Drosophila melanogaster: one gene and its partners. The protein of the gene in region 2 interacts with the protein of the main gene of each other region in a pairwise test. Each region holds a gene or a part of one and is shown on either strand. Other genes may lie near its edges. The genes, in order: koi, Cpr73D, Bace and Nrt.

Region 1 (7,965 bases), on a different chromosome or scaffold from region 2:
GGATAAAGTTAGAAGATCAGTCTGATTCAGGACAAGATCATTTTTTTGACGCCGAGATTGGAATTTGAAATTTGTTTATAAACTGGGGTATAGTGCTACGTTTACGGGTTGGAAACTTGCATACGTAAGTAGAGTAGACTTAAAGGAACGATGATTGATTTCAGGGAAATAACTAAATACTAATAAATATTATAGTACTTATAGGGACTCTAGTCCTGACTTAAATAATATGCTATGTACAAGTTAACCTTAATGTGATTTAAACACTTCAAATCTACGATATGATACAAAACACTTACAATCTATATAGCCTTACTTTTTACATAGTTCGCATTGTTGAAAGCGGCTGGGCTCCGTTGATCCACATCTCGCAGTGATATATTGTTTAGTTTCCTTTTTAAGGCACAGACATTATGTACACCTGGCAGTACTTAGGTCACTAGAAGAGATTTGAACAGATTTATGTGGCCGGCGGCTTGCCGTGCACGCGAAACCGGTAGAGGCATGTATAGGTGGGATGGCCATGGTTCGTCTCGATCCGCAGTTCGACGATCTCGTACGGCCGTTTGATGTCCAGGTTTTGAACGGCAAAGTACTGGAGGGAAGCACCATTGTCCTCAAACTGGTAATCGCCGAACAATACGGGTTCCTGGTCCTTCTCCTGCTCCAAGCCCTGAGTTGATGGATAAGTCGTATTAGAAATGCACCACTTCCTTTCACCCTTAGTCAAACTTACCCAGACAGTGAAGTTGCGAGGAGCTGATTCTATTCTTCCTGTGGGGGATAGACTCTTCGGTATGTGCTCTAGGGTGAATCCAGTGACGTACACCAACGAGTTGAGCTTTAGCACTGTGGGAAGAAAACTATAAGGACTGTTTTAGCAATTACTATTTACCCGCGACTTGCCTAGAAATCCGGGAAACCCTTGGAATGCCCAGCATTCCCCTGGCTGCACATTGGGTGAAATGGCGACCCGCGGCGTGTTGGTGGGATACCAGAGTGGAATTCCAAACACCGATATCTGGGCTGACTTTGTCTGGTAGCTCTCAGTGCAACGCGTGGAAAGGATTTGGCCGCCCGCCGACTCCAGGGCGAAGTCCACCAGGCCCGTCTTGTCGGCATCGTAAATAGCTAGCACCGTCTTGACTATCTGGCGCACCTCCTCTTCGCGGATATGGCCCTTCAACGCTTTGGTGCTCTCGTTATGCTTGGCCTCCACAACCAGAAGAATCTCCCGTTTGAGTCGTTGGCTAATGTCGCTCATCAGCAGGATGCTCGAACGCTCAATCTCGTCGCGAATGTTGTTATTGGTGCGCTTGTTCAGCTCTAGCAGCTGCTGCTCCAGGTAGTCCTTGGCCACAAACATGCTGCGTACCCAGGTCTGCAGATCGAAGTCATCCAATTGGCCAGCGGAACCGCCAGCGGTGGATTGCTTAAAGCCCAGAATTTCGACAAGGGATAGCTTGATCTGCTTGTTGAGAAGAGCAAACTGCGAGTCGTTAAGCGCAGACAGTTTGTTTTCTATTTCAGCCAGCAACCCGTGGAAGCGCCTATCCTGGGAAAGTTCGTGCTGCTGTATGCGTTCCAGCAAATCCTCTTGGCCGAGCTTCAGATTGCTGATTGATTGGTGCAGATCGGCGTTCTCCGCTTGCTTGTCAGAGAGAGCCAACTTAATGAAGGCGATTTCCCTGTTCAGACGCTCAATTTGGACTTCTGCATCTGAGGAACCGGAACTCTCCTTTGGCTCGAGCTCTCCCACCCGAAGACTTATTCGAGCATCTACAAAGTCTGCCAATGCTGGCGCAGCAAGAATACGCTCCAGCAGGGATGCAAAGTCTATCCTGTCCAATTGAATGGTGTAGTGCGATTCGTGGAGGTGAACCTCTGCTTTAATTAGCTTGGTTATCTCCTCTAAGTTAGCTTGTGATAGTTTCGCTCCATCTTGCCAACCGCCTGAGCTTTGCAGCTCCAGTTTCAGTTTTATGGCCAGATCAGACAAATCCTTTTCGCTTAGCTCCGTTTTGTACATAATCTGCTTGAGGTTTTCCTTCATCAGCTTAACAAAGAGTTCAATCTGTTGCGGTGCGAGCTCCTTGGAATGCTGCTGCATTTTCAGCTCGACCAACTGCTGCACGTAGCTGTTTACATGGTTTAAGATATTTTCGTATTCCTCGGCAGTCAAGGCTTTCTGGATGTTCTGTTCAATGCTGGCCATGTTTACCTTAATGGCCTCGGCTTCCCGCTGGGGACTCCTGACGGTGGGCACTTCCATCCAACTTTTCAAGGTGGCTCCAGCATTTGAAAATCGACTACGTAGGGAGCCGAAAATAGATAGTGGCAGCGGCAACAGTGCTTCCGCACGCTGAACGTAAGCACTACGTTGATCCTCCTGCAAGAGCAACCATCCTGGGGAAGGAGAAAATTAAACATAGCACTATTAGTTGGCAATCCTTCTACATTTACAGTCCCTACCAACTTCAATTATCAACCGGACTGAGGTAACAGGGAACTCGTTTTTGGGGTTATTCCAACACAAATGCAGAAGGATAGAGTTCGATTCTGGCCAACTAATATTGCTTTGTTTACATCTTACTTACCATTTAGCGAACTTCCAACAAATGGCAAATAAAACAAACAACTCTTCTTTGTACTTGATGTTTCATATGAAATTGTTTGCGATTTATTTTTGTATAGACTATTACAAAGCAAACAGTGCACAAATTACAATTAAACGTTGTTTAACAACAAGTAAGATTTAGTTAGGGCACTAACCCAGACGGATAACGGCCCTAATTGTTGGACAAGAATGAAGTTAACGATTACGAAAGTTTTACAATTTGAACAGCGGCGAGCTCTATCCTTCTCCCATCAGCCTGTGATGTTGCATTTTGTTGGGAATTGTGTCGGTTAGTATGGTGGGGTATGAGAGGTGGGTTTGCCTATGAAGTGGGTAAATGACGGGACGAAAAACTATAAAGTAAGTGCGCAAAACTGCGGGTCAAGCAGACGGACAAAAAACGGATCAAATGCTTTATTTTGTACTCATATTGTTCATAAAGAAAGTTTCTCATATTTGTCTAAGTGCAAGGGGCGTTGCACCCAACCAGATCACTAAATCTGGTAGCTGTAGCCTGCCCATTGCAGATGTTCCCTACACACGCTCATAATAGACTTTATCATCGCCCTGAAATAACTGACGACCCTTGTTGACCACGTTCTGACCGATGGTTCTCAAGTACAAAACGTAGTCGTCGGCCCAATCGCGAACGCGGACCGCATGCTCGGCGGCCTGAGAGCGTAGCGATTCGAACTGCTCCTGGTTCAGGTAGTCTTTCACATCGATTTTGGGCAACTCAGGTAGGGTGAATGTGTATTCGGACAGGGATTTGGGTGGGAAAGTTTCATTGGGGTGTATGTAATAGAACAGACCTGCAAAGGCAAAGCAAATTAGGCGTTTAACCTTGGCAGACGGTGAATGGAAAATAAAATATGTCATCACATGGCCACTTAAATCTGATCCGCGGGATTTTACTAACAAATTATCGATGGCGTCACGCGACTGCCAACGACCAGACGAGTTTATAAATACAACGACTGGAGGTGATCTATATGCATGTAGTATGAATTCTCGAACCGGTACAAGGTCACGGCACACGCTCTAACATATTTTACTTTACATCAAAAATCGGACGGTGCTTTAAATCCTACTCACCCGACAGCAGCAGCAAGGGCAACAAAATCAGCAGAAATATGAGGAAGCGCTTTTTCGACTTGTTTTCCGCATCCGAGGATCGCAGCAACCACGTGTCCAAACTCAGCACCGATCCGATGAAAACATACAGGTAGCGCAGCAAACTTGCAAGTCCTCCTCCGATGGTCTGTACTATTTTCCACCAAAGTCCAACTTGTTGACTCTGCTGGCGCTTAGCGTGGTAGTTTTGATAGGCAGTCGTCTCCGTGGCCGAGAGATTGGTCACCCGACTCCACACGGTGGTAATGCTGCTAACAACCAGTTGGATGAGGCGGATAAGCCACCAGCTCTGCTTTTGCTGCCCAAATGTGGCGTCCAGTTCATCTGCGGAGTCATAGTTAACCTGCTGGGTATACTTGGACTGGTAGCGGCGGCGGATGAACTCCTCTTGCGCAGGGTTCTGCTGGACCATGTAGTTGACTCGATCGTTATGGTTCTCTAGGCTCTTTCTGGACATATTGGGCATGGCCACAATTCCTGGCGCCAACTGGCGTCGGTGAGGGGACAGTTCTGAGTAGGTATAGTCCGTCTTGGGAGTTTTGCTGCAAAATAGCATCATTAGTATACTGTTTAAAATGTGTAGAAATGATTCACTCACTTCCAGTATTCACCAGCATCCCTGTACTCGATGTAGGCCAGATAATCGCTGACATTTCCCGAGCTGAGGTTACCGTTCGATTGGTTTAGCTTTTCCTGGGCGGAATTCAGCGTGTTTTGTGTGGTCTCCAGCTGGCTTCTGTTCCGCGGTGTCGATGTGGCGCCGCCGGATCGCTTGGTGAGAATCGACGTGACTGTGGCCGTGATCGAGTTCTGTTTGCGTTTGGCATCCGGAGTCATGTCGTCGCTCGAATAGTCCGAGGTCAGCTGGGCGAACGCTTTTGCCCGGGTTTTCTTACTGATACTCGACTCCACTATATGCTCCTCTATTATCGTTCTGCAGAGAAGAGGTAAGATTTGGGAAAAATATTTCAGTAAGTCCGTGATAACGTGCTCGGAATCGTTTGAAACGACGAGTACAACGTATCAAAACAAAAACACAAAAATATGCTTATAACCGCCGCTGGCCTTCAGCGCAAACGACTGTTAGCCCACCCCAGCATGCTCGATTTAGAGGCTAAAACGTGAAAACGATTTCTGACGGCCGACGTTGGACTCCGAATGTCGTCATCGAGTCTTGAAGACTGATCATCAGACCGACCAGGCGCTCTCGAAATAGGCGCCAAAAACTAACGAAGCTCGACCAGATGCTGCACCCTGTATGCGGCTTTGCCTTCGTTTTCTACCCGCTTCGAAATTCAAATTCGCGGCGAGCGTGAATAACAAAAAGGTGACGTCATGGCGGCAGCACACGGCATACAAACATACAGTCGCTATGGATGTGTCTTACTACAGTCCAACTTGCTTACTGAAACCAATGGTCAGTATAGAAAAAGGTGACTCAGGACCAAATAGGAAATAATTATAGAGTTTAAACTGAATTCTCCTAATTCTCAAAATGAAATTGACTCGAACTCCGTAAACATATTGTATGCTTACAATTTTACTACTTATAAGGGCTAAAAATAATGTTATGGGTTCGCGATAAAGGGCTTCGTCCGTAGGCCTATTTCGGGAGTATCCCAGATACTTACTGCACATTGGGGGCCGCCGATTTCCTTTTGAGGTGGTGCACATGCCCCTCCTCTCCGGCGTGCTCACAGTTCTCATGGTCGCAGCTCGATCTCAGGAAGGGGGTCTTGGAACGCGACCGCCGACGCGTTTCTATCTGGTATGTATTTTCGCTCATGATTAGATTCCCTCCAGTGCTCGGGCCCTGCGAAGACACAAATAATTAACATGGGCAACGATTTATTTGGAGTAAACATTAAAACCAGTCTGTGTGTGTGTGCGTGTGCGTGTGTGTGCGTGCTAGGCGTGGGTTGTTTACAATTGGGCAGCTGGAAAACATTCGGTCTCTTCACTTCAATGCTCGAGTGCTTTCCGAAGCGAGCTTTCCCCGCCACATTAATGCCGCATTATGCAATGCAATGCGTGTGGAAATGAGCGCAGTGCCCGGTTTTTAATTAGAATGCATTGGGGAGGTAGGTAAGTAGGCAGGCCGCAAAGACCGCGTCTAAAAATAGGGCGGAGCATTTCGGATCGCGAATTGCTGCCAGTGACCGTGGGGATCCATTGGTGTTGGGCCACATAGCCGAAAACGACGCCCGCCCGGCCTTTCGCGCACAGATATCGGACTCCAGGGAGCGGGGTAGGGATGTAGACGCTACAGGGTGCTCCGGCGGACCACGCCATCCACAAACAACGCGCGATAATCAATACAATGGCTTACTGCCCAAAATGAGTTCGCAGCACAGGCGCAAATATTCGTTGATTCCGTGATTCGGTGAAATGGAAACCCAAACAAGTTTTCCACAGCTGCGTCATAGCGTACATATATGTACATATGTATGTACGTGAATGTAAAAATGAGGCACGCACGCACACAAACAAAAACTCCGCACAGTGCTTTCGGCAGTTTGCCCGCAAATATGTGACATACTTAGTAATATTTCTTGTACTGCCGTACTAATGAATTCCTCCGTTGAATAGCTGGATATGAATTTTGTTTGCAAGCGCCGCGACCGTTTTAAAAATAGCCTCCACCGTCACGACGGCAAAATCACGTCTATTCCGAGCGGCGAAAAAATTCGAATGAACGGGGAAGACACATCGATTATTCTAGCAATCATCGATGTTTCGCCGCCTATCGATTGTTCACATGGATTATTAAAGGGAACGTTGAGAAACGGAATTTGTTTTCATTAACCAAGAGAAATAATGGGTCAAGAATAAAAAATTTAATTTTTACACTTTTATCTTTTGTTCAACAAAGAAAAATAATTTGAATGAGGTGTGCAAATATGCAAACATACATTATTTTTCTATTAACGCCGAAACATTCGACTTCTGGCTTGATAACTAAGAAGAAGACTGAAATTTAAATATAAATTTGTTAACAAATATTATCGTTTTACAAGGATGTGATAGATTTGCGTCATGACAAGCAATTGAGCTTTCTAAGTATACTTTCAGACTTCTGATATCTTTAACTTCGACTTTCTATATGATTGTTATTTAAACATATTTAAAATTAAATAAAATATCGATAGCATTGCGGACAATTAGCGATCCCTCAAACCACTCGGTATTCGGTAAAGGGTATTTGACAACCCTAAGCAATAATACCACAACAAATCAAGAATTTATTGTTGTGATTTGTCTAGCAAAGCCATAAAATATGATAGAAATAACGTGTAACGATCGTCTTGGCAAGAAGGTAAGCAGCTAAGTACCCAAGGCAACTGCAAGCATCGTTAACCAACGATTAACCCACAGGTGCGCGTCAAGTGCAACCCGGACGACACGATTGGGGACCTCAAGAAACTAATCGCGGCACAAACGGGCACAAAGCACGAGAAGATTGTCCTGAAGAAGTGGTACACAATCTTCAAGGACCCGATTCGCCTATCTGACTGTAAGCCCTTGTTTAGTGTCCTTGTAACGCCTTGCTTTACCCGCATTTCTTTTTCGCTTTCTTAGATGAAATTCACGATGGCATGAATCTGGAACTTTACTACCAATAAAACTGCAAGGGAATACCGTTCCTGTGTCTAGTTTGTCCAATTTTTATAGCTTCTTTAATAAATAAAAAGATTTTGAATAATATATATTATTCGTTTTGGTTATGTTCTGATTCTTAAGGTCAATTTGTAATAGTGAAGATATATATTTTTGAGTAAGCTGTATTAAGCCCTTGGTTATCGGACTTCCCTTGACAATAACAAAATACATAGTTAGATTGATGAATTACAATTACAATTAATATTGTAATTTGCGTTTAATGCGCCCCTACGACTACGCCCCTGTAAAATTGGTATTATTTACAGCGTATGTTGCGGCGTTGCCAGATCGCATCAAAGGCTTCCAGAGAAAGAACAACAAATATTGAAAACAGCGCATTCAAGATTCCGTCGAAAATGTCAATGATTCCATTCTTTCCCACGCTCAAAGTCTCCGTGGCCAATCGCTACTGGTTGGACATGGCTCCTGCCTCCGTAAACGAAGAATCGCAGACGCGGCGTTATGAGGATGAAAGGAGCAACTGGGTGAGTTCTCTCCAGACACCGCTTTCTGTATAAATTGTTATAAACTTAAACCGTACAGCGAGAGTCCCT
Region 2 (6,592 bases):
CTTGCCCAAAACATTTCCCGCCTCATCGGTGTGCTGGGCATGCGACATCTGGTCGGTGCTGAAATCAAAGTTTTGCTGGCTTTGCCGGTGCTTCAGGTGGTTGGTCGATGCTAATTGGTAGCCCGCACTCAGCGAAGATGTTGCCACTGCTAGGTTATCCTGTGTATTGTAGGAAATCCGGGAAAGTGGATTCTGTCTTGTCCTCAGAGATTGATGCACAAAGTTCAGCGGACCAAAGGAATCCAGAGAAGATGCCCCAAAACTAGGCTTAACGACACTCCTATCCAATCTATCGCCATCCGTGTTGTAGGAGTATCCTTGTCCATTGAACTGCATATACACTTGCGCTCCTTGAGCACAGGAAACTATCAGCGAAGCAATGAAAAGCACCAACATCATGTTCAAGTCTCAGAAACAACTAAACTCCGAGCATGCTAAGTCATGGGGTTATATGTGGATTCAAGGAAACCGCAATGTGCAGATTAACCTGCTTATACCCGGATCCACGGATATCAAATAACTATTCGCTAGAGATACAGATACAGTTTGAGATACAGATACAGGCAAAAAATGTATTCCGCTTTAAATACTGTTTTAGTTTCCATGTGGAGTCAACCCAGTTTCGGTTACTCAACACTGATCACTTAGAGCTACGCACTACAAACTACAGATCTACAGATCCAATGGGTGCTTAGTGCTCCCTTGAGGCATTCAGCTCGGCGATCTCATCCTGACGCAGTGCCTCCGACGGCGAAAGTCCGATCCTTCCGCCCAAGGGTATTATGTCGATGTTCTGGACATGGGCACGCACACTTTGACCAGGCGGCAGGCCCACGTACCATTTACCCACGTTCTTGATGACGGTGGAGTCGCGGTGTCGCTGCACCCACTCCCGATCCCTGTCGATCTCTAGAATTCGGTGGTTGGCGGTGACCAGAGGAGGCAGTGAACTGCCCACATCGTCATCGTTGAGGTGGTAATTGTCCCCGGGTCCGCTCATGGCACTGGTGCCCGATCCACCTGTGGGCGGCAGGTAGCCCAGGCCGGAGTCGCCTTCCCTGGAGGCTCCAGCTCCACCTCCTCGACGACTGCTTCCACCACCGGCAGCACCTCCCCTTCCTGCTCCCCGCTCAGAGGAGACACTTACTCCACCAACGCCGCCGAATCGGTTTCTGTTTCGGGACCCACTAACATTGTTTCTCGTGGAGCTACCTGAACCACCTCTCTGAGAGCTGTCACCTCCGGCATCGTATCTAGTACTGCCCCGTTGCGGACTACCCGCAGGGAACCCTCTTCTGTCTTCTTTGCCATTAAAGTTGGTGGAACCAGAGGAGCTGCTGCCAAGCCCAATGTCATCCCCTTGGTCATCAGCATGGTGTCCCAGATTTTCATCAGCTGCCCCAGCATCACCATCTCCACGATTCCTATCTCTTGCTCCATCAGCCGGCTTTAGGTAATCTTTGCCTCCGGGTCTGCTTGGAGTACGGCCCCTTCCCGCTCCACCTGCACCACCACTTGGCCCCGAAGCTCCTACCGAAACACTTCCCCCACCTGATCCACCACCACCTCCCTTCGGACCTAAGCCACCACCAGCACCCCTGCCAAAATCATTAGCCAGTCGGAAATCTGGATCTGTCAAACGAAAATCAGCCACAGAGGGATTGTTATGGGTTCCAGGACCAATCCGATTTTGCACCACCCGGTAGCCAATTCCTGCTCCAGCTATATACTCCACTGTCCGCTGCACGCCCTTGTCGTCCAGGAAGGAGTAGGTTCCTCGCACCAGGCCATCGGGTGCTCGACTTTCTGCCCGTCGGTGATCCGAACCTGAGGCGATCAGCTTATAGCTTCCAGCCGGCCCCCTTTGCACAGACATCTTGCCGCGTGCTTTGGGATGGGACGTGTACAGAGGACTGGAGTACGCCACAACAGATGGGCTGTCCGGCACAGCGTTGGAGATCTCGAATCCGGTTCCGGCTCCAGCTGCATAACGAACACTGTGCCGCTCGCCCACGTCGTCCAAATAGGAGTACAGACCTGGGATAGAATCAGTTAATATACTCTTAAGTACCATACTCGCTAAACTCGCCTCTTATCCTATTCCCGGAATCATTCTCCTCGCTGCGCGACTGATCCGGAGTGCGAAAACTAAAGCTGTAGGATGGATCGTCGAAGGGATCGGCCAGCGGATCGTCCGGACTTCCCCGCGGCAGTACCGGATACTGAGCCAGGTCCATTTTCCGATGGATTTTCGGTCCGTTCACGCGAAATCTATGTGGGAAATAGAGGGAGATTAATTAGCTACCGACACAATGAGTGGGGATTGGGTAAACCCTTTCAGCGGAAGCGGACTTGCACTGCAATTTTGAATATAGATTCGATCTTAGCCCGGCACGCCATTACTTCGATTACTACACATCTCGGGGAACGATCCCATTCAGAATCATCGCTATCGTTGAGCATCTGCCATCTACAATCCATTCCTCTTTTTTTTTTGGCTCGAATCTCTCAGGCCAGTCAATTTGTTAACAGCTTTTTGTTTCCCCCGATTTACCGGAGATTGCAAAAAACAACAGTAGCGCCGAAGCGGTAATGGAAAAACGTTTAGGCAACGCCAGAAAAAGCAGTCCAATGTGTTAGAACGGCTCCAACTCCATGGATCCCCCTCCGTTTGTTTGGGTTTCGCTTCAGTGGCCGCCGCCTGCCGCCAACCGCTGATATATGAGCTCAACTCTGACATCGAGGGGAGATAACTCACTTTGTGCTGCCACTTCCTCAGCGGCCAATACACTCAGGAAAAAACCGCCGACCTTCCTCAAGGAAGTTACCTTCGAGTCATGTATACCCACAGAACTTATCGTTGCCTAATTATTTTTAAAAACATTTGAAATACATATATTTTAAAAATTATGTTTTTCTTTTACGCATATTTTGACATCATCAATTTTAAATGCATTTTTCTCCACACATATGCACTCTAAAATGATACTATTTTCTTGCAGTGCACCAGCGCACTTTACCCACTAGTCTTGGCTACCGTCTTCGATTACTCACCCACGTGGTCCGGCTGTGTAGACCGTCTCCTCGATCTGCCCGCTCGCCGGACTCCGCGAACCGTAGCGACCTCGCACCGTGTTGTCCGGAGTGCCCGAGGCGCTGTGATAGTAGCCGCCAATGTCATCATTTGCATGTCTTTTGGCCGATTGGAAGCAGTAGCAGTAGCAGTACCAGCAGCAGCATATCCATTATCCATGCCAGGTGGGATCCATCGAAACAGAAGTAATTGCGTTGCCCCATGCGTGCGAAATGGAGAGGGAAAGATGGTCGGAAGCGTGTTATTGTTGTGGTTGCAAAACGTTGAGGCGTTAAAGAGGTGCTAAAAATCTCAAATTTTCTCGGGTGTAATGGTGATGGTAAGGTAGCAGACATCATTGACCGATTAGATGATTTGTTAGATTTATGACCCATGGCTGCTAAAAAACTGTAATTGAGTTGTTCTCTTTTCAAAAGGTTTATTATTCTACCAAACAGCTAAGTTTGTACGCAATTGGGGAAGGTTATTTCTTATTTTCAGCGACTAACTACTTTTAATCCTTTTTTTAAAAGGAAATTGGACGACAATGAAAGTTCTATTCTATTTAATGTAAATTATGTTATTTGGTTAAGTTTTTTTATTGTGATGACTAATGCAATGAGTTGAAAATTGAAAAATATTAATTTCAATGTTATCTGAATTAATTTTATTGTGAAGTTTTAAAATCCTATTAAAAATCTTAGTCGATGTAGGTATTATGATAATCGTATTACGAAGGAAATTACTAATTTCTGTCAAAATATCCTGCCTTTTAAAGCATTTTTAGGTAAATTGAAAATTTTACTAAATTCAAAATTTTGCAATTGTAACAAAAACTATTCATCAAATTTCTTGAGTCACAGGGTGTTGCATTTGCAATTAAATGCATATCCATTTAATCCATAATGCCAATTTTTTTTTCAGTGCTTAATATCCTTTAAAAATGTTCACTATAGTTTGTCACACATCTATGTACCGAAACTGAAAAGATCCATCCTCGCTGATGGTATTGTACTCGATTTCGGCTCTCGCAGGATCCGAAAAGTATCCTAAAACTGCGCAGAGAAGCAAAAGGGAATTCGCGTGCCGATGCAGATGCCACATCATTCAAATCGCATTCGTTTTAATCCAATCGAGAGATGAAACAAGTATCAAACGGGCATCCTGTTCCAGGTGCACAGTCACCACATAAACTTATATTCCCCCAACAAATCCGATTCGATTCGATCGTCTGCCAATCCGATCTTGGAACCCGTCTTAAACTCCGACTTGGTTTGCGATCTTCGAGAGGAGCTAGCGGCTAGAACAACGCGACGGCGACGACTGATGCGATCCAGCGTTAGACCTTCGTATTTAAATACGATTCTCAGGCGGCTCAGCGAGCGGTTCGTGCGGCGTCATATGGTGGTGCTAGTGGAGCTAGTGGTGCTGCTTGTCTCACCTGACCACCCACCAAAAAGAGCCAAAGCCACGAAGATGAAACAGCAGCATTTGTGTGCAAATTGCGTTACAAGAAAAGGCGGAAAGTGGGCGCGGGGCTCAGGTGAGAGAATTCGTTCTAATGATGGACACGCAAGTGTTGTTGCAGCTGCTGCTGTGTTTCTCCTATTTTATGGCTCCTTGTTCGCCACTTTAGGAGGGTGGGGGAAGGGGCTTAAAACCCGCGGGAAATGGCCAGCGGAAAATGGAAAATCGTGCCTGTGTAGCTGTCTGTCAATTAGCTCACGTTGTTCTTGTTCCCCGAAGTTGCAACCTGGAGCTCTCTTCCTGTTGACAATGCACCATCCCCCCGCCCCGCTCTCTTTAGCTTACAAATCGCAAAACTCTGAACATTGAACTTCATCGCTGGGGAATCAATTTTCCATTTTGAGTTTTCCGTTAGCCGGAGCTTATTACAAGTTCGATCCAGAGCGAGTCTAGGTCAGTGTCTTAGCAGCAATTTTTGGCCAGGTATGCAATTAAAGGCAATTACCCGTCGGCTGGAGGAGACCACAGAACTTTATGACAATTTCCGCCTAGGATCTTGGCTCTTGAATCTTGGCCATTATAATGAGCCATAATTAGCGTGGCGACGCTACTGGCCACTTCCAAGTACAGTTATTGGCCATTGTTCTGGGTTCTAGATGGGGATGTGCTGGGGATATGTCAGGCCCTCTGATTAGACCGCCCCGCTTGGTTGCCTTTGATTCTGGTTATAGTTTATAGTTCTGGCTAGCCCATATTTACATCCACATAGACTACCGCCTTTGATAATCTTTATAGCCGTTGTTTTTTGGCCATATGCAAATTGGTCAGAAGGCGGAAGAGTTCACCAATTGGTTAATTGTGCGCTCAATCGGAGCGAGTGCTTTCCGAGCATAAGCGCTTTGTAATCGCACAACCGCAGAGACAATGGAACGAAACCCAATGCGATCGCGATCGGAGAGCCATGGAGATATGGTATAGCAATGATATATGGCCGCTGCCAATGACCATGTTCATAGGCATGTGGTCGAGCTTTAAGGACAAGTTTCTAACGGACTGCACGCATGGGAAATGTGCAACCAGTTGTGGCAGTCGCAGTTGCACTTGGAGTATTGCTGTTTGCCATTGAACCACATACCCAAAGAGCAAAACTAAAATGAGAAAAAAAAAGTATAGCTAAACTGGAAATTCATAAGTGGCCTGTGTGGGCCATCCTGCCAAGTTGGCTTGGAAAAGTGAAAATGCTTTCGATTTCATCGCGTCCATTTCTTCGGGGGACATTCATTTGACAGCGGCCCAGGCGTTCGGATCGGCGTGGAGACTCCAATTAATCGCAACCATGAGGATTACACAACTTTTATGCATCTCGTGCATGGTTATCACATCGATCGACGCTGTGGAATATCTAATTCGCTTCGAGACGAAAAAGGCCAAGTGCTTGAATCCACCCAGAACGGCCAGGAAAGTCGAGTCGGTCATAAGGGAGTGCCAGGATGAGGTCCGCAACAAGTTGGTTAATGGTGGGCCTTCAAATTAGTTAAGCCATATTAAATACTATACGGTTTTGGTCCCCATTTAGAGGCCTATGAGATACTCAAGGAGCAGGTGTCACAAAATCAGCCACCCATCGATCCGAACGATGACTCCATCGACTTCATTTGGCCTTCTGTGCCCGAGGCACCTTCCCTTGATCATTCCCCCAACATCAGCCAGTACGAGTACATAGTCTACGATGAACCCGAACCACAGCGCCACGTGGCCAGATTGATGAGGAATATCCGACGTTTGGATGTGGCCAGTTCGGGTATATATCATCCCACTCTGGTGCCTCTGGAAGACAAACGCATTGCGGGGGTAAGTGAAGTCAAGTAGGAGAATCTTCTGCGAGACTTGTAGATCGCTTTTCTTCTCGTGTTAATGAAATGCATAAGGCATGCTCAATTAAGTTCAATGGCAGCCCAAGAAACAATTGGCTAAACCCCCACTTTAGCTCACCCAGCAAAACCTAAAGTCAGGGTTTTTAGACAATCGAAAGAAAAGCAAATGCATTTTCAG
Region 3 (4,204 bases), on a different chromosome or scaffold from region 2:
TATTCCGCTCGATGGGATTTGAATGCGGCGGCCACTGCGGGAGATGGGTTTTCATACTCGAGGCGGGTTTCAAATGTCAGATTAAGTAGTCAACTCCTGATTGCTGGACATCCCTTTGAAGTTCCTTAGAACAGCTTGTTAGGCGATAACATCTTCGGTCCGGAGTTGTTCGTTTGTAAAAGGCAATCTTTAAAAAGCTCTTATGAATGAAGCTCCTATGAAAAAACATTATTTAGTTCCAACTGTAGGAAGAAAATAAGCAATCAGAATTAGTATTCCATTTATGAGCCCTAGCAAATGTTCTTTTCCCCGACAATTCATTTAACTGAAAACATTAACTGAACTATTTTCACTTGTTTAATTTATCTGTCATCGCAGTCGGGTTATATTTAATGTGCTTATAGGCCAAAGTTCGCTGGCTAGTGTTGATTTGAAACATCAATATCTTGCTCGATTAATCGCCTGGCACTTGACTGACTCCGAGGCTCATAAACCACGAGTGGGTGCATCGGAGATCGAGCAAGCTGTGAAAATGCAATCGGCGGAAAGAATTCGATGTGGAGTAGAAGAAGGATGAGTAGTGGGTGCTCCTGCCTGAACGAATCGCCCACCTATTGATTACTCGGAGGCAAATGCTCACTGACCGAACCGGATACTATCCATAATAGCAATTTATTTGTTTTCTGGCTCTGCCTCTGTGCTGTATGAAATATATTTACCAATTGTGAATGTTTGCTGATTATTTTTGGTTAAATATTATTTGCATCTCGGTCTAAGCCTTTAAGCCATGTCCACGCACAGCAAATAAAAATAAATCGAAATTCATACAAGCGCACACAATTCGGTGAGTTGTTCGGTTAGTTGGTCAGCCACCCCGGGCGTATACTTTATTTATGTATTTGCCGACTACAATCAACTCCAGTTCAATCCACTCGCGTTGGGCCATAAATCAAAAAATGATTGATAAACGGTTGAAGGGGACTGGGCATGGGCGCTATTTGAGCAGCCTAATAATTGCACATGAAATGTCAACGCAGGAATGCGAGAAACAAAAAGCAGGCGGCCCACGTCGCTCGGTAATCATACGCCCCGTGTGCCCAGTTACCAGTATGGTTACCGAAATTGCCCGACGGTGCGTAAAATCCGTTGATTACTTTATTTTGGGTCGAAAGTGCGCAACGCACTCGCCCGTGGACACCTCCATTTTGGCCCCTTGTCTGTTCGTGTGTTACTAGCCCTCGGCGATAAGAGCGGATGCTCTGGACCACAATTAACCTGTGGCTGACCACCACACAGAATCACCACCCAGAAATCCTCACATTACTGCTCAACATCCCACCATCCCACATGTGCAAACAGTCCCTGCGCTGGCAATAAAACGCAATCGAAACCATGAATCTCCTTTGTCCTTCTTGGCCAATTGAAGTGGCATTTTATTTGATTTTAAATCTGATTTCAATAGGGTCTTAAGCTTAATGGTAGTAGGAGCCATGGCAAGAAGATGACTGCCGCCGGACCTGCATTTGCTTTTTTATCTGCTAAAACGAAATTTATATTTTTATATGACCGAGCAAATAGCTGGTGAAAGTGCTCGAGTGTAACCACTTGATTGGAAGGGAATTTAAGCCGAGGTGAATGCGTTTCCTCTTGGCTGAAAACGATCAAATTCCCACGTTTCCTTAAATTAACCAATTGAAAACAAATTCATTCTGGTAATGTGAGTTAATGCTCGAGCAATTATATCATCATCCTTAGTTACTAAATGATTTGGCTTTTTGCTAAGCAGGGGTTTTGCCCAATATGCCTGGTGAATTTCCCAAATGCATGGTTTTACCCTAAAACCCTAACACACTTATCGCTATCTCTAATTTATTGGCTTATCTGTGAGCTTAATCATGCAATGATATTAAAACAAATTACCATGAAGAGTCACTTATTATTATCGCGTAATGTAAGCACTATCAAAGTCACTCAAAATGTCCAATCATAACAAAGTCCAGCTGCGTATTGGAATTTAGGATTCACTTCTTGAGAACGCTATCGAAAAGATCGAAATATCACCTCACACCTGAAATGATAATATGCCAGATTATAAATATCGAATGCCGGACGAGCATTAAGAACTCATACTGCTTAAGACTGGAGTGGTCAACAAATCTTATCACCGGACAATTTGGGCTGTGATTGATGGCAAGTGCTATAAATTAGACCCGCTACACCGATCGTCAGTTAGTCGAACTCGAGTAGACTAGAAACCAAGAGAATGTTCAAGACCATCGCTGTAGTAGTGCTCCTGGCAGCCCTGGCCAGTGCCGAGCTCCATCGCGTGCCGATCCTCAAGGAGCAGAACTTTGTGAAGACGCGTCAGAATGTTTTGGCCGAGAAATCCTATCTGCGCACCAAGTACCAGCTGCCCTCGCTTCGCAGCGTGGATGAGGAACAGCTGTCCAACTCGATGAATATGGCTTACTACGGAGCCATCTCCATCGGAACTCCCGCTCAGAGCTTCAAGGTTCTGTTCGACTCAGGCTCCTCGAACCTGTGGGTGCCATCGAACACCTGCAAGAGCGATGCCTGCCTGACCCACAACCAGTACGACTCCAGCGCCAGCTCCACCTACGTGGCCAACGGCGAATCCTTCTCCATCCAGTATGGCACTGGCAGCCTAACTGGCTACCTGTCCACCGATACCGTCGACGTCAATGGCCTGAGCATCCAGAGCCAGACCTTTGCTGAATCCACCAACGAGCCGGGCACCAACTTCAACGATGCCAACTTCGATGGCATTCTCGGTATGGCCTATGAGTCCCTGGCCGTGGATGGTGTGGCTCCTCCGTTCTACAACATGGTGTCCCAGGGTCTGGTCGACAACTCCGTCTTCTCGTTCTATCTGGCCCGCGATGGCACCTCCACTATGGGTGGTGAACTCATCTTCGGTGGCTCCGATGCCTCTCTGTACTCTGGCGCTCTGACCTACGTTCCCATCTCGGAGCAGGGCTACTGGCAGTTCACCATGGCTGGATCCTCCATTGACGGTTACTCGCTGTGTGATGATTGCCAGGCTATTGCCGATACCGGCACCTCCCTGATCGTGGCTCCCTACAATGCTTACATTACCCTCTCCGAGATCCTGAACGTGGGTGAGGATGGCTATCTGGACTGCTCAAGCGTCAGCTCCCTGCCCGATGTCACCTTCAACATCGGTGGCACCAACTTCGTCCTGAAGCCCTCGGCCTACATCATCCAGTCGGACGGCAACTGTATGTCCGCCTTCGAGTACATGGGCACCGACTTCTGGATTCTGGGCGATGTCTTCATTGGCCAGTACTACACCGAGTTCGATTTGGGCAACAACCGCATTGGCTTCGCCCCAGTCGCCTAATTAACGATCCGCAATTACGAATCAATAAAGAAACGAGCTCTTAGAATTTTCTACCAAATGTCTGGGTCACCTCAAGTGGGTCACCTTTCGAAGGCTGAAGGTGTAACAATCTAATCTGTTTACAACTTTGTAAGTGGATAGGTTGTGAGTAAGCGACTCCAATTGCGTTTTACAGTCATGGCTATTTATGCTTATCTGCATTTCATATAATAAATGAATTACACATTGGACTTTCTGTAAATTGTTCGAGAATGTATAAAGTATATATAATTTAAGCTATCGTTTACGTAGAAATACCACTCCATTTATTTATTTATTGACACTTAAGGAGACTGAAGTGGTTATCCAAATGTGTTATCCGGTAGTCCGCAAATTCCCAGCTGGCTGTGGGATAAATGTTGACTCCGGACCCAAAGGAGATGGTGTTATGAAGGCAATGACAGAAGCCATCAGCTCCGGGAGCCAATTCATTTGTCCAGCCTGTTGGCCGGGCAATGATGTGTGTCACCGGGTGTCAAGTGGGGACTCTGGTAGCCCGGGGGAATGCCACAGATGTCAGGTATACTGCCGGGGTGTCAAAGGATAGCCAGTGATGTCAGAGAATTGTGCGGGTCTATAGTTTTGCAACTGCAAACACAACAGTGACAACACCCATTTAGGAGTAGCGGCCGAAGGATGCAGGGGCATCCGTGTGCGATGACAGGAAGTGGAAGTGCAGTTGAGCAATGCAAAAAGTGGAGGTCTTGTGAAACTCGGGACAACTCGTGGACAACAGGTTATATTGGCCCTGCTAGCTAGTTTCCAACCCAAATGAGTGAAGCA
Region 4 (5,140 bases), 170 kb from region 2:
TGGCCTCTGGTCATTTTAAAATTAACTTTAAATATTCTGATCTAACGATTTATCATGCCGTGTTGTGGATTTTTGTTCAAGTTGCTTAATTTCATGGCAATTTATTGAAGTTGGCCAAGTGGGAGAATGGAAAATGATGAGCCACATATTCGCCAGGCAATCAAAAGAAGGGTGATTAATGATCAAAGCTGACACGTGTTCAAAGAACAATGCGGAAGGGGTCGGAAAGATGAAGGGGGAGTGAAGTTCACTGGAGCATGAGAAACACTTAGAAAAAATAAAGAAGAAACATAGGTAAGATAGATCGCAAGTTGCAACAAATGTTGAAAACCTTTAAAAATATACAAACTTGTTTGTTAAGAACTACTTGAGGACATACTATAATAATTCATAAGAAATATAAGACTGAATTTATTTCCAGTACAAAAGGGGCAGAAACCAGAAACCGCAAGACTCAAAGGTTTATACACGTGCGATGCGAATTCACAGTCGTCTCCCCTCATTTTATTTTGATGGATAACAATCTCCTGGGGCAGGTAGAGAGCGGAAACTGGTAAAGGGGCACAGAGTCCCACAAACCTCAAAGGATCAGCGGAAGGCGCCTAGTTCCAGGACAAGGGGATTGGCACAACAAAAATGGAATAAATGGAGTTTGGAGTGGGAAGAGCAAACAAAATCGGAACGAGATTTCCACTTCAAACAGGCCATTTTTATGAATTTGTAATTACTCTCGAGGGGCAAACAACTCTTGAAGATATGGGATAGGATAGCCCTGAGTTGCGTTGGTTGGTTCAATGTTTGTGCATACCGCGTACTCTTGGATTTGATGAGGTAGACACATCTTATATCTTATATTCAAGAATATTTGTTGGAGAATGTTATAACATTAACTGAGTGCATTGAACCACGAAGTTCCTGGTGCATTTAACCAATATTATGTATGCAATTAGTTGTTTCTTAAATGGAAGTACTGGGTATCTGTTAAGTCTGCATACACTGCCTTCCTCACAACTCATGGCTGTCCTTCCACTATATCATTCCATTTTATTGCACAATATTTTCTAGCACCACGTTGCCTTTTTCAGGCAGATAAGCGAAGATTTCCTCCGCGATAAGAACCCTGAGAATTCCTTGAAGCCAGGCTCCTTGCAGGGCCATTGGAATTGTCAACAACAAATATTTATGATTTGCGCTGGGGTTTCTTGTAACCCTCATTAGTCAATTGTCAGCAGCTCTTGAGGGGATTCGAGTTTTGGGATCGTATCGCAGCACTTGACTCTCAAGTTCTTATTGCTGATGGATTTACAATTTCCTAAATGAAAACTCCATTTTTGTTTAAACTGTTTGACCATGAACTCCAGATGTAAATAGCCGAGTTTTGTTTATCATTGAGAGCGAGAAAAAGTGTTGAAAATCGTGCTTTGTATTCTTGTTGCATTTGCCTTGTTGTGTTTTTCCTTAATTGTTGTTTACTTTTCGAGTGGAAAGCAGGCAACACTTACATAGGAACAACAATTTAAAATTGAATTGTAAAGACGAAAACTTTTGATTACACACATTTTGGGGTAAATTGGGAAAATGAGATACTGAGGCACACACATCAACATCATCATGTCGGCTCTTGTCTTTTGAAAACTTGGCAAAACAATGAGGGAAGTTGGAGCGAAAAGTCAATGGGCGGGGGAGTTGCCTCCATAAATCTCTTTCCGAATGCAAATGTTGCGTCAGCGTGGCATCTTCACGTTTTCCTACCCCATTTGTTGTGCCTCTGTTTGGCTTTGTTGATGCTTTTCTCACTTTTTAGTTGCTCGATTCCCCGGAAGTCTTTTTTTCTTTTTCTGGAGCGAATCGAAGAGCAGCAGCTGCCAACTCGAACTTTCTCTGAAGATCCCGGGAATTCGTGATCATTTCCATGCGCCTATTAATTCATCATTGAATTATTGCCCTTTTTCCCGGTATCCGTATCCCTTCAACAATTTCCTTTGCATTTGTTTACGGAATGACTATTTGGGGATTTATTCAAGCCGGCGTCTGACTGTGCATACAAATGATACCAAAGGGGTCGCGCTATTTTTGGGGCAACTCCATCCACCAAACTCTGGATGTTGATGGATTGAAATATCTGAGGATTAACACACATTATGTTTATGAAATGTTCAAAAGGATTTGTCAGGGCCGTGATTTATGTCAAATGGTTATGTTTTTCATACGGAGCCGCGACACAAGCCATTAGAAAGGATGGAAAATGGGAATTATTGAGGGAAAGAGTCCGTCTGATCATTGACACGAGCCATTAGACCTCAAGACGCGTAAGATGATGATGACGATGGGGTGGGTGTGCTTCGTTACGGAGGGATTATATCAATGAATCGTGAAGCCCCATTAATCTTATTAAGAGCTCGGAATGAAATGTTTTTCGAGACGCCATTTAAATTGTTTTGGTAAGATGTTTCCTCGGTAATTATGGATTGTGGAGGATTATAAATTAATTTAGAGCCGTCAAGATCGGATACCGACATATTTTAAAAGTTTTCAAATTAAGCTCTTATATCTTTTATCTTCTACTTTTCACAAATAACTCAGATTTCAATTGCTACGGCATTAGCGTTTTTCAATAAACTTTTTGGCCAAAATCTTTACATTTGTATAAAACTAAATAAATATGCATGTAAATTGTTTTATTCAATTATAATCACATTTTAATCTTTCAAGTTTGAAGTGTCCATATTCACTTGTTAAATTATTAAAGTTGGCAGACAAATTTGACTTCATTTACAATTCATCGATTTGTTTTCAACTGCTCTTCCTCTTCTACAAATCCCCGAGGTCCTTCACACGAATTTGTAATCTTACCTTTTTCAATTCTCGCAAACACTGTGTAAAATGTGTGTTGCTTTTTTCGAACTTGTTGAAATGTGGCAATTGGGAATAATCCGTTGGTCCTTGAAAACAGCGGGTGGCGTAAATGAACCCGATGTCCTTCCTGCAGGACACTTAGGTGTGTATAACAAACGCACAGATTTTTTGATTTGTTGCGGTTTTTTCTTTTCTCCGCTCCTTCGGCACAGAGCAAAACAAAATGCACAAAAGTAGTTGCGGTGTTTTTGTTAGATTTGTGTAAATATATTTCTTGCACTTAATACAACATACGATGCACAATAGGAATATAAAAAGTTATTCCTTGTTTGCGCCGAATTTGATTTTGTTTTCTTTTGGTCGCGTCTGTGCGGCGAGAGTGTGTGTGTGTGTGCGATGCGAAAGCGAGCACAACCGGAGCGAGGGAAAACGCGTGCGGCTTCCAAAACAGAACAAAACTGACTGACGCCGTTTCGATGTCATGCAATTCATGCGGCTTCGAAACGGTTAACAGAGTCTTAACAGCAACTGTTAATGTTAATTTTCTTGGATTTGTTTTTATTCGGGGAACTGGAAGTGGAACGTGTTTTCGGCGAGAACATGTTTCTCTCTTGAAAAAAAGAAAAAACATAATTTAAGATATAACTTGTAAGTTTATAATAGTATACAAATTATGTCAAGCAACAGTGATTAGCATTGAAAACACCTACACAACGAATTGTTGTAATATTTTATAAGTAATTTAATTAAACTTATTAGACATGATCATAATTCATGTTTATGATTTAGTTCGAACTGGACCACTGTGCACTGGAACTGGAAGCAGCCGGCATTGTAAATTTATAAATCATAGGGGTGGCTGGAAAGCAGCAGTAAAAGTAGCGGCTTTGTTTTCCTGTACAGTAAGTGCAAAATGTTCGATGGTGATTTTATGAAAAAGGTATTGTAGTTTTGGTAAAGCGTTTATTGTTAGTGAAACAAGACACCTCAGATATTATGATCAGATCAGATACTTTATAGAACATGTAGGAGAACATAGGGTAAAATTGTTATAAATTGTTCAAGTCAACACCCAAAACCCAAAGTAGAGGTATTACGTAGTCTACAGCTCTTTATAAATATAAAACTTAAAGTTATTAAAAATTTCTGAGTTGTACATGCTTCAAATAGAAGTAGATGCCGATCTCCCTATATTTCTTTGTTATTAATTTTTCTTAAAAAGAGAGGGAAGCTGGCAAGGGGAAGGGAAAGAAGTTTGTTGATATGGCACTTTTGTTTGAGTAAAGGTTTTGATTTCGGTTTTTGAAACTCGTTTTCAAATGCTTATCAACTGGCGGCAAGTGTTGAAGCGCAGTTTATGCCGATGGGAACATCTGGCATATGTAGGGAAATTCCACGTCCTGATGCGTCATTACAGCACAAACCCTTACCCTTGGCTACCTCCAACCCAACACCCCTTTTCGCATAGGGTTTCATATCCCTACCCCTGAGAAAATTCACTTATTTGGTAAGAAAGACAAAATATAATGATTCTTTCAATCAACTTTTGCGCAATGAAAACTATAAAGAAGATTTTAATGCATTTATTTTGAGCGATACGCAAATCAACAGAATGATTCATCCACAGTTATGAGAAAAACATACGTTGTTGCAGTTTATTTAATAAAGGGCACTCCCCCAGTATTATACTTTCAATTACTATATAGTATGTGCTCTATTTTATAAAAATGTTACGCTTATGATTTATGAGTAATCAACTAATGTAGGAGATATGTCTTCAGACAATTAGGCTACCCATTTAACTAAAGTGTTTGGTAAATATTTTTCAATATTTCAATATTTTCATTGTATACCTATGTATGTACATAGTTTAATATTTATATTGAACTTGTGTCGGTTGAATTATTAGAACAGAAGCCATGACGACACGTGCTAGAAATGTATTAGAAGTCGATTCCCCTGTTCTTCCAAAGGTATTACCCCACGGAATTCCTACCCACATGTCAACAACTTTCACGCCCCGAACTATGAGGGTTCCCTATTTCATTGTGGAGCTACTGAAGCATTTCATTAGACATGATGTTAGGCGACATCTGCTACCGAAAAAAAGGAATAAATATGGTAGGAAACTAGAAAATAAAAGTGAAGGTTGGCTCGAGTTACATACGTATTTGAGTTTGACGCATGCCCGTCACGTCGAAGGGGAAGGATCAAAATGATCGCATCGGATCATTATCATGATCGCAAATGGTAACGAGGAAACCCGCAAAATGTGGGACGCCCA

The links.
Region 1: the proteins of Cpr73D (region 2) and koi interact in a two-hybrid assay, tested with the Drosophila melanogaster proteins (one large-scale study listed by BioGRID).
Region 3: the proteins of Cpr73D (region 2) and Bace interact in a two-hybrid assay, tested with the Drosophila melanogaster proteins (one large-scale study listed by BioGRID).
Region 4: the proteins of Cpr73D (region 2) and Nrt interact in a two-hybrid assay, tested with the Drosophila melanogaster proteins (one large-scale study listed by BioGRID).

Annotation. Positions count from the first base shown.
Region 1 is NT_033778.4:6,809,501-6,817,465, reverse strand, and holds the start of koi (klaroid), read right to left. Parts: upstream 6,448-7,965; 5' UTR 6,291-6,447; intron 5,679-6,290; exon of another isoform or gene 5,565-5,678; 5' UTR 5,538-5,564; coding exon 5,383-5,537; intron 4,935-5,382; exon of another isoform or gene 4,772-4,934; intron 4,686-4,771; coding exon 4,350-4,685; intron 4,294-4,349; coding exon 3,713-4,293; intron 3,430-3,712; coding exon of another isoform or gene 3,152-3,429; exon of another isoform or gene 2,654-3,151; intron 2,407-2,653; coding exon 907-2,406; intron 850-906; coding exon 737-849; intron 674-736; coding exon 461-673; 3' UTR 1-460. Other genes in the region: ubl (ubiquitin like), read left to right, coding at 7,029-7,067, 7,127-7,265, 7,331-7,374; CG15237 (uncharacterized protein), read left to right, coding at 7,768-7,896, 7,955-7,965. UniProt on the Drosophila melanogaster protein: Component of the LINC (LInker of Nucleoskeleton and Cytoskeleton) complex involved in the connection between the nuclear lamina and the cytoskeleton. Is required to nuclear migration in eye and to anchor klar in the nuclear membrane.
Region 2 is NT_037436.4:16,938,547-16,945,138, forward strand, and holds Cpr73D (cuticular protein 73D), read right to left. Parts: upstream 4,404-6,592; 5' UTR 4,178-4,403; coding exon 4,050-4,177; intron 3,193-4,049; coding exon 3,055-3,192; intron 2,272-3,054; coding exon 2,090-2,271; intron 2,038-2,089; coding exon 692-2,037; 3' UTR 554-691; downstream 1-553. Other genes in the region: CG13022 (uncharacterized protein), read right to left, coding at 1-396; Obp73a (Odorant-binding protein 73a), read left to right, coding at 5,877-6,057, 6,117-6,391.
Region 3 is NT_033779.5:8,494,328-8,498,531, reverse strand, and holds Bace (beta-site APP-cleaving enzyme), read left to right. Parts: upstream 1-2,224; 5' UTR 2,225-2,263; coding exon 2,264-3,382; 3' UTR 3,383-3,639; downstream 3,640-4,204.
Region 4 is NT_037436.4:16,764,254-16,769,393, reverse strand, and holds the start of Nrt (neurotactin), read right to left. Parts: upstream 3,323-5,140; 5' UTR 2,854-3,322; intron 1-2,853. UniProt on the Drosophila melanogaster protein: May mediate or modulate cell adhesion between embryonic cells during development.